Linked DNA regions of Coturnix japonica. Each later gene encodes a partner of the first gene's protein in a complex. Links are inferred from orthologs where the notes say so. Each region holds a gene or a part of one and is shown on either strand. Other genes may lie near its edges.

Region 1 (4,884 bases):
GCTGCTGCAGAGGCTCCTGCCGAGTTTGGTTCAGAAAAAAGCCTGCCCTCCCTTCCTATCAAACTATTGCAATAAGTGCATAATCCAACAACCATACACTTTCCCAAAGCATCCTGGATAACTGAAGTTGACAAAACACTGGCCCAAATGAGAGACACCTGAAGAATCAATAACCCACTAAACAAGCTGCTGGATGAACTATTTTCTGGCAAGGGTTATCTTGTGAAGAGGTCCAAACAGATCCGAGTAGCTGCAGAAATTGATTTGTGAGCGATAAAAATGATTCCCTTCAAGCTAATACACCGTGGTCACAGGCAATATCGTAATTTCAGACATAATCGTCCTCTTCCTCTGCACAGTATCTTCAATCTTAAAAGATAAAAAAAAAAATCTGCTTTGCTTTCGGGCTTATCTCAATACTAATTCTCCCCAACACTCAATCCCTACCATGCTCTTTCACTATTCAGGCTGATCATGTGGTGACTACAGCTACCTGGTACCACCAAACCCAGAAGCTTGACTGCACAGCAATTCCCAGCAATTATCTGCTCTCAGTTATCCTACCAATGAACTCCAGAACTGAGAGAAAAGAACACCGCTTTTTATTTGAAAGAATGAAGATTAAAAACTCCATCTGAATATCCAAAGTGATGGGGGAAGGACAGACACAAGATCAGCATGTGCTGCTCCGGGAGTGCTGCAGGCATTTTTCTGCCTGAGGGCTCTGGAGGCGTGGCTGTTCCTCCCTAACCAAAGCATTTCAGTAACAAAAATACACGCTGGGCAGCCCTTACATCCCAGCTTGCTACTCAGAAGAGTCTGACGTAAGTATCATGAGAGCTTGTCAGCCTCTAGCCAAGCTTCCTAGAGGAAGTCTAGGAACAGTTGACCAGAGCATCTCTGATTCCCAGGACAACCAAAATGCACAAAGTCTCTACAAAGTCATGCCAAAGACAGTTTGCTTCCAGCCCTTGCCCCTGGCAGGAGCAGCACTACCCGCTCCACTTCCTTTCTCTGCTCAAGGAAGTATCCCCATTTCAGTGGAAAGGCAAGAAATAGTGACACTTTCAGCTTCTAACTACTAGGAGATGTCGATATGGTCCATAGAACACTGCCAGCGGTGCCCAAAGCGCAACCTAAATGAGACAAATAGGTCAACTTCAGCCAGCTGACATTTGCTTGAATTACACAAAATGCCACCGCCACAGCTGGCACTTTCCTATATGCTCTGCTGGAAGTTAGGTTGCAGAAGTCAAGAACCAGCCTACTCTCCCCCCAGGGGTACCGGGAAAGACTCTCAGAAAACCTAGGTGCTCTACAACCACTCAGCACTGAAACCAAAGCATAAAAACTGAGGAGGAAAACCTCAGCACAACACGGCTTCTGTTCTGCACTAAAACACCAGGAAGTGCTCATCAGTGCTAGATGTGGATTCCCAACATTCACCACATGAAAGGGACCTTAAAGATCATTGATCTCCAACCTCCCTGCCATGGGTAGGGGTGCCACCCAGCAGCTCAGGCTGCCCTGGGCCCCATCCAACTTGGCCCTGACTGCCTCCAGTGATGGGGCACCCATAGCTTCTCTGGGCAACCTGTTCCAGTGCCTCAAATTTCCACTGACATCTAATTTTAATCTTCCACCTTTTAGTTTAAAACCATTCCTCCTTCACAATCACCCTACTGGCCCCCTCTCTATTGATACAGTTCTAGATACTATTGGCCTTCTGGGCTGCAAGCGCATACTGCTGGTTCATGCCCAGCTTTTCATCCACCAGAACTCCCAAGTCCTTCTCCACAGAGCTGCTCTTGAGTTCTTCTCCCAGTCTGTAGACATATCTGGGATTGCCCCTCACCCAACTGTAAGACCAGACTTAAGACTCAGAGGCCCACTTTTCAAACCCATGCAAATACCTCTGGATGGCATCTTTTCCTTATATTGTGTCAATAATAATAATACCACTCAGCTTGGTGTCATCTACAAACACGCTGAGGGTGCACATGATCCTATCAATCATCTACGTAATCAGTAAAGATGTTAATAAACACCAGTCCCAAGACAGACCCCTCATGTGATAAAGATGTGGTATGGGACCACATCAAAGGCCTTGCACAAGTCCAGGTAGATGACATCGGTTGCCTTTCCTCTGTCCACCAAAGCCATCATGCCATCCTAGAAGGCCACCAGATTGGTCAGGCACAATCTGTTTTTGGTAAAGGCATGCTAGCTGCCACGAATCACCTCCTCATCTTGCATATGCCTTAACCTAGCTTCCCAGATGAGCTGTTCTATGATCTTCCCAAACACAGACATGACACTCACTGAACCTGTTGTTCCCCAGGAATTCCTTCTTCCCTTTCTTATAAACAGGAGTGAAGTTTCCCTTTCTTCAGCCACTGGGGACCTCAGCTGACAGCCACGACTCTTCAAATACAATGGAGAGTCATTTGGTAACTACACCAAACAGTTCCTTCAGACCCTTGGGATGCATGTTGTCTGGTCCCATACACTTGTACACATTTAGTCTCATGAGGTGGTCTCAGACTTGCTGCACCCTTCCAGATGGAGGGGATTCTGCTTTTCCAACTCCTGCCTAGAGGTTCAGGGACATGAGAGATATGGGAAGCCAGGCAGTGAAGACAGACTCAAAGAACTTATTAAATACTTCAGCCTTCTTCATGGAAGCATCAGAAGGAGTATAGTCTCCTCACTCCTTTGCCTGCCTCTTATGAATAAGATACCTAAAGAATCCTCCCTCGTTATTTTTCACATCCCTAAGTTTAACTTCATTTACAACCCCACACCAGAGGGGAACGACGTTACCCCACGACCTCTGACGCTCAGCTCGGCCCTCCCGGGTGCCCTGTATCAGCGCTGCGAGCCCAGCCATTAAACAGGCAGAGCCGGGCGGCAATGCTCCATATCGGGCACTTCAGACTCATTATCCCCGTGTGTGAGGAGAGACCCATAAACAAACGCGACCCCGCGGCCCAGCCGAGCTCCCCTCACCTGCCATCAGCCGGACACACCCCGGCAGCAAACAGGAAGCAGCGCCCAGTCCCACTTCCGCCCCTAGTTTACGTCACTTCCGCCTAGCTTAAAAGGCCGGCTGCCGCGGGGGGGTGGGGTGGGGGCAGTACGCATGCGCGTGGGGAGCGAGGCGCTTAGTGGGGTTGGGGGCGTCCGCCATGTTTGTGGTGCTTTAATAATGGGGCTGGGAAGGCCTGTCCGTATACAGAACGTGAGGGCAAAAGGCCTGAGAGCTCTGAGCCTGGCTAAGAGCTTTGAGAACTCTCTGTAAGGGAGGGAGGGATGTAAAATGATGCCAGAACTCCAAGCAGACAAAAGAAAAAAGGAGATGTAGTGAAGTCTGAGCAGGTGTGTGGGTGTCAGGACCTGTCAGAGAGAAGATAGGGAAGCAGATGTAAGAAGCAACAATCCAATCTATTCCTATCCATTTTTATTTATATACTGCTGATGGAAAGGCCTCCAAGTGCTTTCTGCTGCTCAGATAACAATCCAGTTCTGCGCTTATAAAATGTAATACAAAGCAGAAGGTGGAGGCAGGCTGATGAAGCCCCTTCCCATGTTCCCCTCCCAGCCATGCTGAGGATGAGGTTTGCCAGATCACTTAGTGTGAGGCAGGAAGAGAGCTAACAGAACTGGATAGAGGGAAGAGAGTGAGTGTTAGGCTAGGGAGACAGAGAGATGGAGGGGCAGAAGAGCAGCAGGGACTTGGTAAGCCCAATGTAAGAAGTGACAGCAGCGTAGCAGTGCACTGGACAAAGTACAAGGGAGACTGCATTAGTGGGCGAGATGCCCTAAATCATAGTGAACTCTTGTGTAACCCTGTCACACATCAAACATCTTCCCTGCGCAAACAAGACCTAAGTGACTGGGAATGTGTAGGTGTTACCAGCACAGAAATAATCCAGAGGCAAACTGGGAGAGCAGTGGCTATGTGCCACCACAGGTGAAGGCATGCAAGCAGGCTGGGGGTATAATCTCTGGCTGAGTGATTCCCTCTGCCCACCCAACTGGTACAGAGAGGCTGAGCAGCACCATCTCCAGCCAGGGGAATAATGCACATGGTTTCCTCTCTCTTTAATATTTGCATTTCATAACATCTCACTGCTTAATCTTTGTGATACTGAGGATGGGATCCCTGAGGAGCTGACTGACAGTCCACCAAACTCTCCCTTTCTCTGCTTTGTGCTGACAAGTTTTAGCAAAGAGAAATAAAACCAGGCAAAAGATTTTTCTTCCCCAACAAAGGGAATGCTCCTAAGCATGCTTGCTCAGGTGAGGGAGGATTTAGACAAAAGTCCTGCTTCCCATACAGTCAGTTAGACAGCAGTTTCCATAGGCTGCAAAAAGAAGCGTTGAATGTTATGCCAAGTCATACATGACAGTGTTTCAGGGGCTTTGCAATTAGGAAATGCACTAGCTGCTGGTTTGGAAAATGCCTTCCAGCTTTCCCAGTGCCATTCCCCAAGTTGATACCAACAGGAGACACTAGTCAGGGTTGCTGCAAAGAGATCTGGCTTATGCACTTCCAGGCACTTAGTTCTGCCATGGCAGGGTAGTGACTCAGACCCTCTCTCACCCTCAGGGCAGACCTGGCTTTGCCCTTGGCCTGTGGGAGAAATGAAAGAGATTGTTCCCACTGCTCTTCTTGCAGGCTGCACAGAGGCTTTGCACGCTCGGCTCTGCTGTCCGTACTGATCCTTGCTGTGAGCTGTGGGGCTGATCCAAAGCAGCTCGGGGCACTTGTCTTCTCCCTGCTTTCCCTCTAGAGTGCTTATTCTGTCTGTTAGCTTTTCCATCACATTCAAACCCTTCCGCTACATCCAGAACTAACATAAAGGCACATATTTCTTGATT
Region 2 (4,926 bases), about 4.2 Mb from region 1:
ATCATTTAGCAGTTCCTTTCCCCAAAAATAATTCACACAATTCCTATAAAGTAGATTAAACCTACTGAACTTTATAGGGTAGCCCCTGCCCTGCTTTTGAGAGATTAGGAAGTTGCCAACTGCGTGTCCTTACCCCACAACATAATAGGAAATAGGGTTTGCTCAATAATTCCAACAGTATGGGTGAGCAGATTTACTTACGTAATGTTTTACTAAGAAGTAACAAGGGGTGTGACAGCGGGTTAGTTAAAGAAAGTTGTAAGCATGAAATAAAAGAAAACCTGCTTCCTAGATGAATTAGGGTTTTATGTAAGCATGGAGTAGCAGATCTAGGTGCTCTATCTGCAGCTTTCTAGCTATCAATCACAGATTCTGAACGTGGGGTCTGTAAAATGCTTGGCAAAACGAAATCATTTGGAAGTAAACTCATTTTCATTTTAAACATTTTAAAAGTAGCAGGGCAGTTTGGGGTTATAATCTTCAAAATATTAGGAAAAAAAATAGTGTTTTTTTCTTTCTTCATCACATGAGAAGCTTCCTACTGACAGCTTCCAACTATGGTACATTCTTAACTGCTCTAAATTTAGATAGCTTTTTATTAGATTTAGATTAGATTAGATTAGTATTCACATGTAGCCAGGGAGAACTTTCACCAAGAATTTCCTCTGCTACATGCTAGTTGGATTTGCTGCTGTAAACAAGGGCTCCATATCACCCTGATTTTTCTTGCCTTCCAGTAGTGCACAATCTTAGAACTGAAATGAAGCTTTACTTAGTGAGTTGGGCTGCTTCTTGTTCCATTGGAAGAAAGATTACCAAGGTAGCACATCCCATCATTCTGGGACCTTGGGTTGCTTAGCTTAGATACTCCAAAACTGACCCTTGACATGAAGACTAGGAATTCAGTGTTCCCATCCCTTTTCCAAAGGACAGATTCTATTCTGAACTGAGTCTTCCTGGCTAACACAAGTTCTGAGTCTCCGAGGATCTGCCAATGGATGCAGTTTGCATATAGTGTTCAAGCTGAGGTGTACTTACCAAACGCGAGTGCGCCTAATGCTCTGTCTGGAGCCGTGTCTATGGGGATTTAAAGCTAATTTCTCATCTGTCATTTGGAGTTAATCAGATTAAGGATTAGGTGCATGATGTACTGGCAATTGCTGACATTTAATGGAGACAACGTGTTCTCCTGTTGCATGACTTGTTCTTTTACCACTTAGGTCTCTTAACACTTGTCTGGCAGATGAATCCCAGAGAACAGATGGCTTAAGCCAGAAAGGACCCGTTCAGATGCAGAAATTAATTATTTACTATTGAACAACATGGACACCGTTAACACAGAGGAGCGGCGCGGAAGGACAAGCAGAGCAGCACACACTTGTAGTCCGAGCCCCTTCCCGAACTACACTTCCCATGGTGCAGCCTGCAGCAGCACACATGCGTAAACCAACCAGCCCCGGCTTGGAGGGCGGGCAGGGAGGTTTTATTTCCGTGCCGAGGACGCTTGAATACAGGTGGGGTTTCCGGGGTGCGGGCAGTCTGCCGGCCCGCGGGGATGGATGAGGACGGGCTGCCCATCGTGGGCTCCGGCATCGACCTCACTAAGGTACGGCTGCGCCTCGCCTCACCTGGCGCCTCGTCCTTCAGCTGTGTCGGCCCCAGCGGAGCTGCTTCATGTGCAGCGCTTTAACAGCGTCGCATAACATGTAACAGAGTGTTAGTGGGAAGGTTTGGCCTCTGCTGTACCACCAACATCTGCCTCTGGTGTCATGGTCCAACATTGGACACGTTATTTCTGCAGCAATCTTTATGTGTGTTACATAGCTCTTGTTTTTATGCACCCATAGCAAACACACCAAAGGCTGATCTTTAAATATTATTTCCTGAATTTCTGCCTTTTTCAATACATATTTTAGTCCAAACGTGAGGATTAACACCCACAAACTGTCTCATTTTCTTGTACTGTTTATTGCAGGTTCCTGCTATTCAGCAGAAAAGAACTGTAGCGTTTCTAAACCAGTTTGTGGTTCACACAGTGCAGTTTCTGAACCGCTTTTCTACTGTTTGTGAAGAGGTATGTTTGCTGCTTTCCATCCCTCACGTTATTTGAAGAGAAAGATTCCTAGAAATGAGAACCATTCGCTTCACTATTCTTGCTGCATTCGTACGAGTAGCTTTAGAGTTCAGTCTGCTTTCTGCTCATCTTGAATGCATTAAGATGGATTTATTTTTTTTTTTTTTTCTCCAGGGTATTCACATACTGATTATGCCTCACTTAACCTTGTTTCGTTGAACTTTTGTATTTGGCATAGCTTTTTCTGAGAGCCTCCTACTGTGAATATAGTCTTGTTTTGGAAAGAGGCTGCTCTGTGTTTGTGGTGCTGAAACCGTTCTGACAGTCCCCGTCCCCTTCATCTGTGTCATAGGGCAATGTGTTAAAACTTGCTTCCAGATTTCTCTGCCTCTTGGCAAGTGGGTTTTGTCTACCATATTAACATTTAGAGTTTCTAAATAAAAGTAATTAAATAAATAAGTTTGGATTTTCCTGACTTGGTATATGGGATACTGTCACTGTCTGGTGAAGTTATCAGTTGCCCGGAACTGAATTTTCATGTAAACTCAATATTACTTATTGTATAGGCACCGCAGAAATTGAAGCATATATACAGAATACTGTCTCGAGCATGGAGCAATGCTGTGAAGTCTAGTTAACAAAACAGTTATTAGTTAGCATAAATGTGTTTTTGCTAAAGAGACTAAGTGGTTACTGTACGTGCTTGAAAAGATTTTGCATTTAAGAACTACAGAAGTGTTTTTAATGTAAATGGTCCCAGTGTAAGTCAGCAGAAGTCAGGAAATTCAGAATTAAAGCTGCCACCAGCCTACTTCTAAATGATTGTCAAGCTGATACAGCAAGTTTTAGAAGTGTCTTTTGAGCATCTTTCCTCCCCTTTTGTCCACTGCTTGCAGAGCATGTAGTTCCTTTCAAGGAAGCCAACTTTTCTTTGCAAACAAAGAACCATCTGTAAACAAGTCAGCGTACAATCCAAAAAGACTAACTTTTGTCACTCTTGCTTTTCCAGCACATTGGCAGAACTGCCATTTCCTTAGGGTGTTAAAGCTCTGCTTAAGAGCCAGGCAGAATCTTGCCCACGTGCCAGAGAGCTGTCAGAGTGGTACATATCTGCCAGCCTGCATGCTAAGCCAACTTCACTTGGACAGGTCTGGTGGAGTATGGTAATGATTAGTTAACAGAGTGATGGTGCTTATAGAGTAATTTAGAGAAACTTGTTTGTAAGAAAAATATATCAAAATTTTATTGATGTACGCTTAGAGAATATAAACCTTCTGGTGAGTTCAGGTTTGCCATGACTATCAAAGACTTTCATTCATCTGCTGTAGCCTTTATCAAATATTTCTATAACATGCTCAGTTATATATGTGCACATTGTATCTCCTTTCACATTTGGGAAAAGCTTTGAAGAAATTTATTTTGGTCAACTGTGAGAGTACAGAGTGTCTGCCATTAGTCTGCTATTTGGTTGCCCAAAGTAATACCCTATTTACTTTGGCTGCCATTTATACATAATTTGTCTTCATTTCTGTCTGTCAAATAACATGTAGTAAAATTGGTTACAATTTGAACCACTCTAGCTACTGTACTAAAAAGGGAAGATGGAATTGCTTCATTTATTTCATGTATGTTATCTCATTTATACTCTACCGTCTTTTGCAGGTTGAAACGGAGATTTTATTTAACTACTTGTGAATGCTTTTATGTATACTAGTGGCCCAGGAGAGTGTTTTCAAATCTTAATTGTTTTCTATTCTAGAAATTGTCAGCACTCTCTCTCCGTATCCAGCAAATTGAAACAACACTCAATATACTGGATGCAAAGGTTTGTATGCGTACAACTGTAACTTTGAGCAGTGGCAGCTTCTGAGATTACATGGCTAAGAAAAGAAAGATAGTTTGAATTGAGCAAATAGGTTTTTATAATGATTGGAGGAAGCTAATATGAAGCACTTGCATGGCAAACTCTCTTTCTGCATTCCCTACACTTACAACATTTGAACGCATAGTAGATATGGAGGAGAAGAATGGCATATTGTGGAAATGTTGGTTTTGTCCATCTTTAGGATACAGAACTGAAAAGGTATGTTTGGATCATGGGAGGGGAACTGAACTACATGGCAGTTACTTGTGTTATTTTTATTGCAAAGCTTTTTTTTTTTCTGTGGCCTCAGAGAGCTTTAGACTAATTCAGATGCGATGAACTAGAACTAGTGATAAAATATTACAGTTTCATTAATGTGAAACTCACCTGTGGAATATGTAGTAAGTGCCATACTGCAGATTTTCTGCTACGTGTAGACTTTCAATATGCTCACTGCTTATTTTGATCATGTTTTGTCCAATCAGTTATCCTCTATTCCTGGCTTAGAAGATGTCAAATTTGAAGTGCCCAGTGCAGATCTGAATAGTGTCACAAGTAGTCCCATGGCACCACCCACTGCAGATCAACAGGCAGCTGTGTCACCTCAATCTGGAGTAAGTAATGACGATAAATTGTGTATTGAAGGAACACATCTCCATATCAGATTTCTAATCTCATTTAAAGCAAATGGAAGAACCAAGTTTACTTAAAGAGGGCAGTCACACCAGCTGTAAAGATCTAAAGTTACATTTTTCATTAATGAAAACAAGGCCATACCCTTTAATAAATACATGGATTAAATAACTAGAACTAACTCAAATCAAATAGAAAATGATTTCTCCCTCTTCAGTCGGTCACACTAAAATATGTACATGAATTACATCAGAGATTGTAAAGGTCATGAATGAAAGGAGCAGCTCAAGTCACGTAATTCCAGTTATTTTCTTGTGTTTTAGAATGTGAGCTTCTAGGCCAACTTGAAGTTTCT

What was found. The genes of interacting proteins can lie anywhere in the genome.
Region 2: WASHC1 (region 1) and WASHC3 share a complex: the UniProt entries of both Homo sapiens proteins name them as parts of the WASH core complex. The link is inferred for Coturnix japonica from reciprocal best matches to the Homo sapiens genes WASHC1 and WASHC3.

Annotation. Positions count from the first base shown.
Region 1 is NC_029516.1:52,606,515-52,611,398, reverse strand, and holds the start of WASHC1 (WASH complex subunit 1), read right to left. Parts: upstream 3,091-4,884; 5' UTR 3,017-3,090; coding exon 3,010-3,016; intron 2,425-3,009; exon of another isoform or gene 2,323-2,424; intron 1-2,322. UniProt on the Homo sapiens protein: Acts as a component of the WASH core complex that functions as a nucleation-promoting factor (NPF) at the surface of endosomes, where it recruits and activates the Arp2/3 complex to induce actin polymerization, playing a key role in the fission of tubules that serve as transport intermediates during endosome sorting.
Region 2 is NC_029516.1:56,773,459-56,778,384, reverse strand, and holds the start of WASHC3 (WASH complex subunit 3), read left to right. Parts: upstream 1-1,472; 5' UTR 1,473-1,555; coding exon 1,556-1,606; intron 1,607-1,975; coding exon 1,976-2,074; intron 2,075-3,833; coding exon 3,834-3,899; intron 3,900-4,423; coding exon 4,424-4,552; intron 4,553-4,926. UniProt on the Homo sapiens protein: Acts as a component of the WASH core complex that functions as a nucleation-promoting factor (NPF) at the surface of endosomes, where it recruits and activates the Arp2/3 complex to induce actin polymerization, playing a key role in the fission of tubules that serve as transport intermediates during endosome sorting.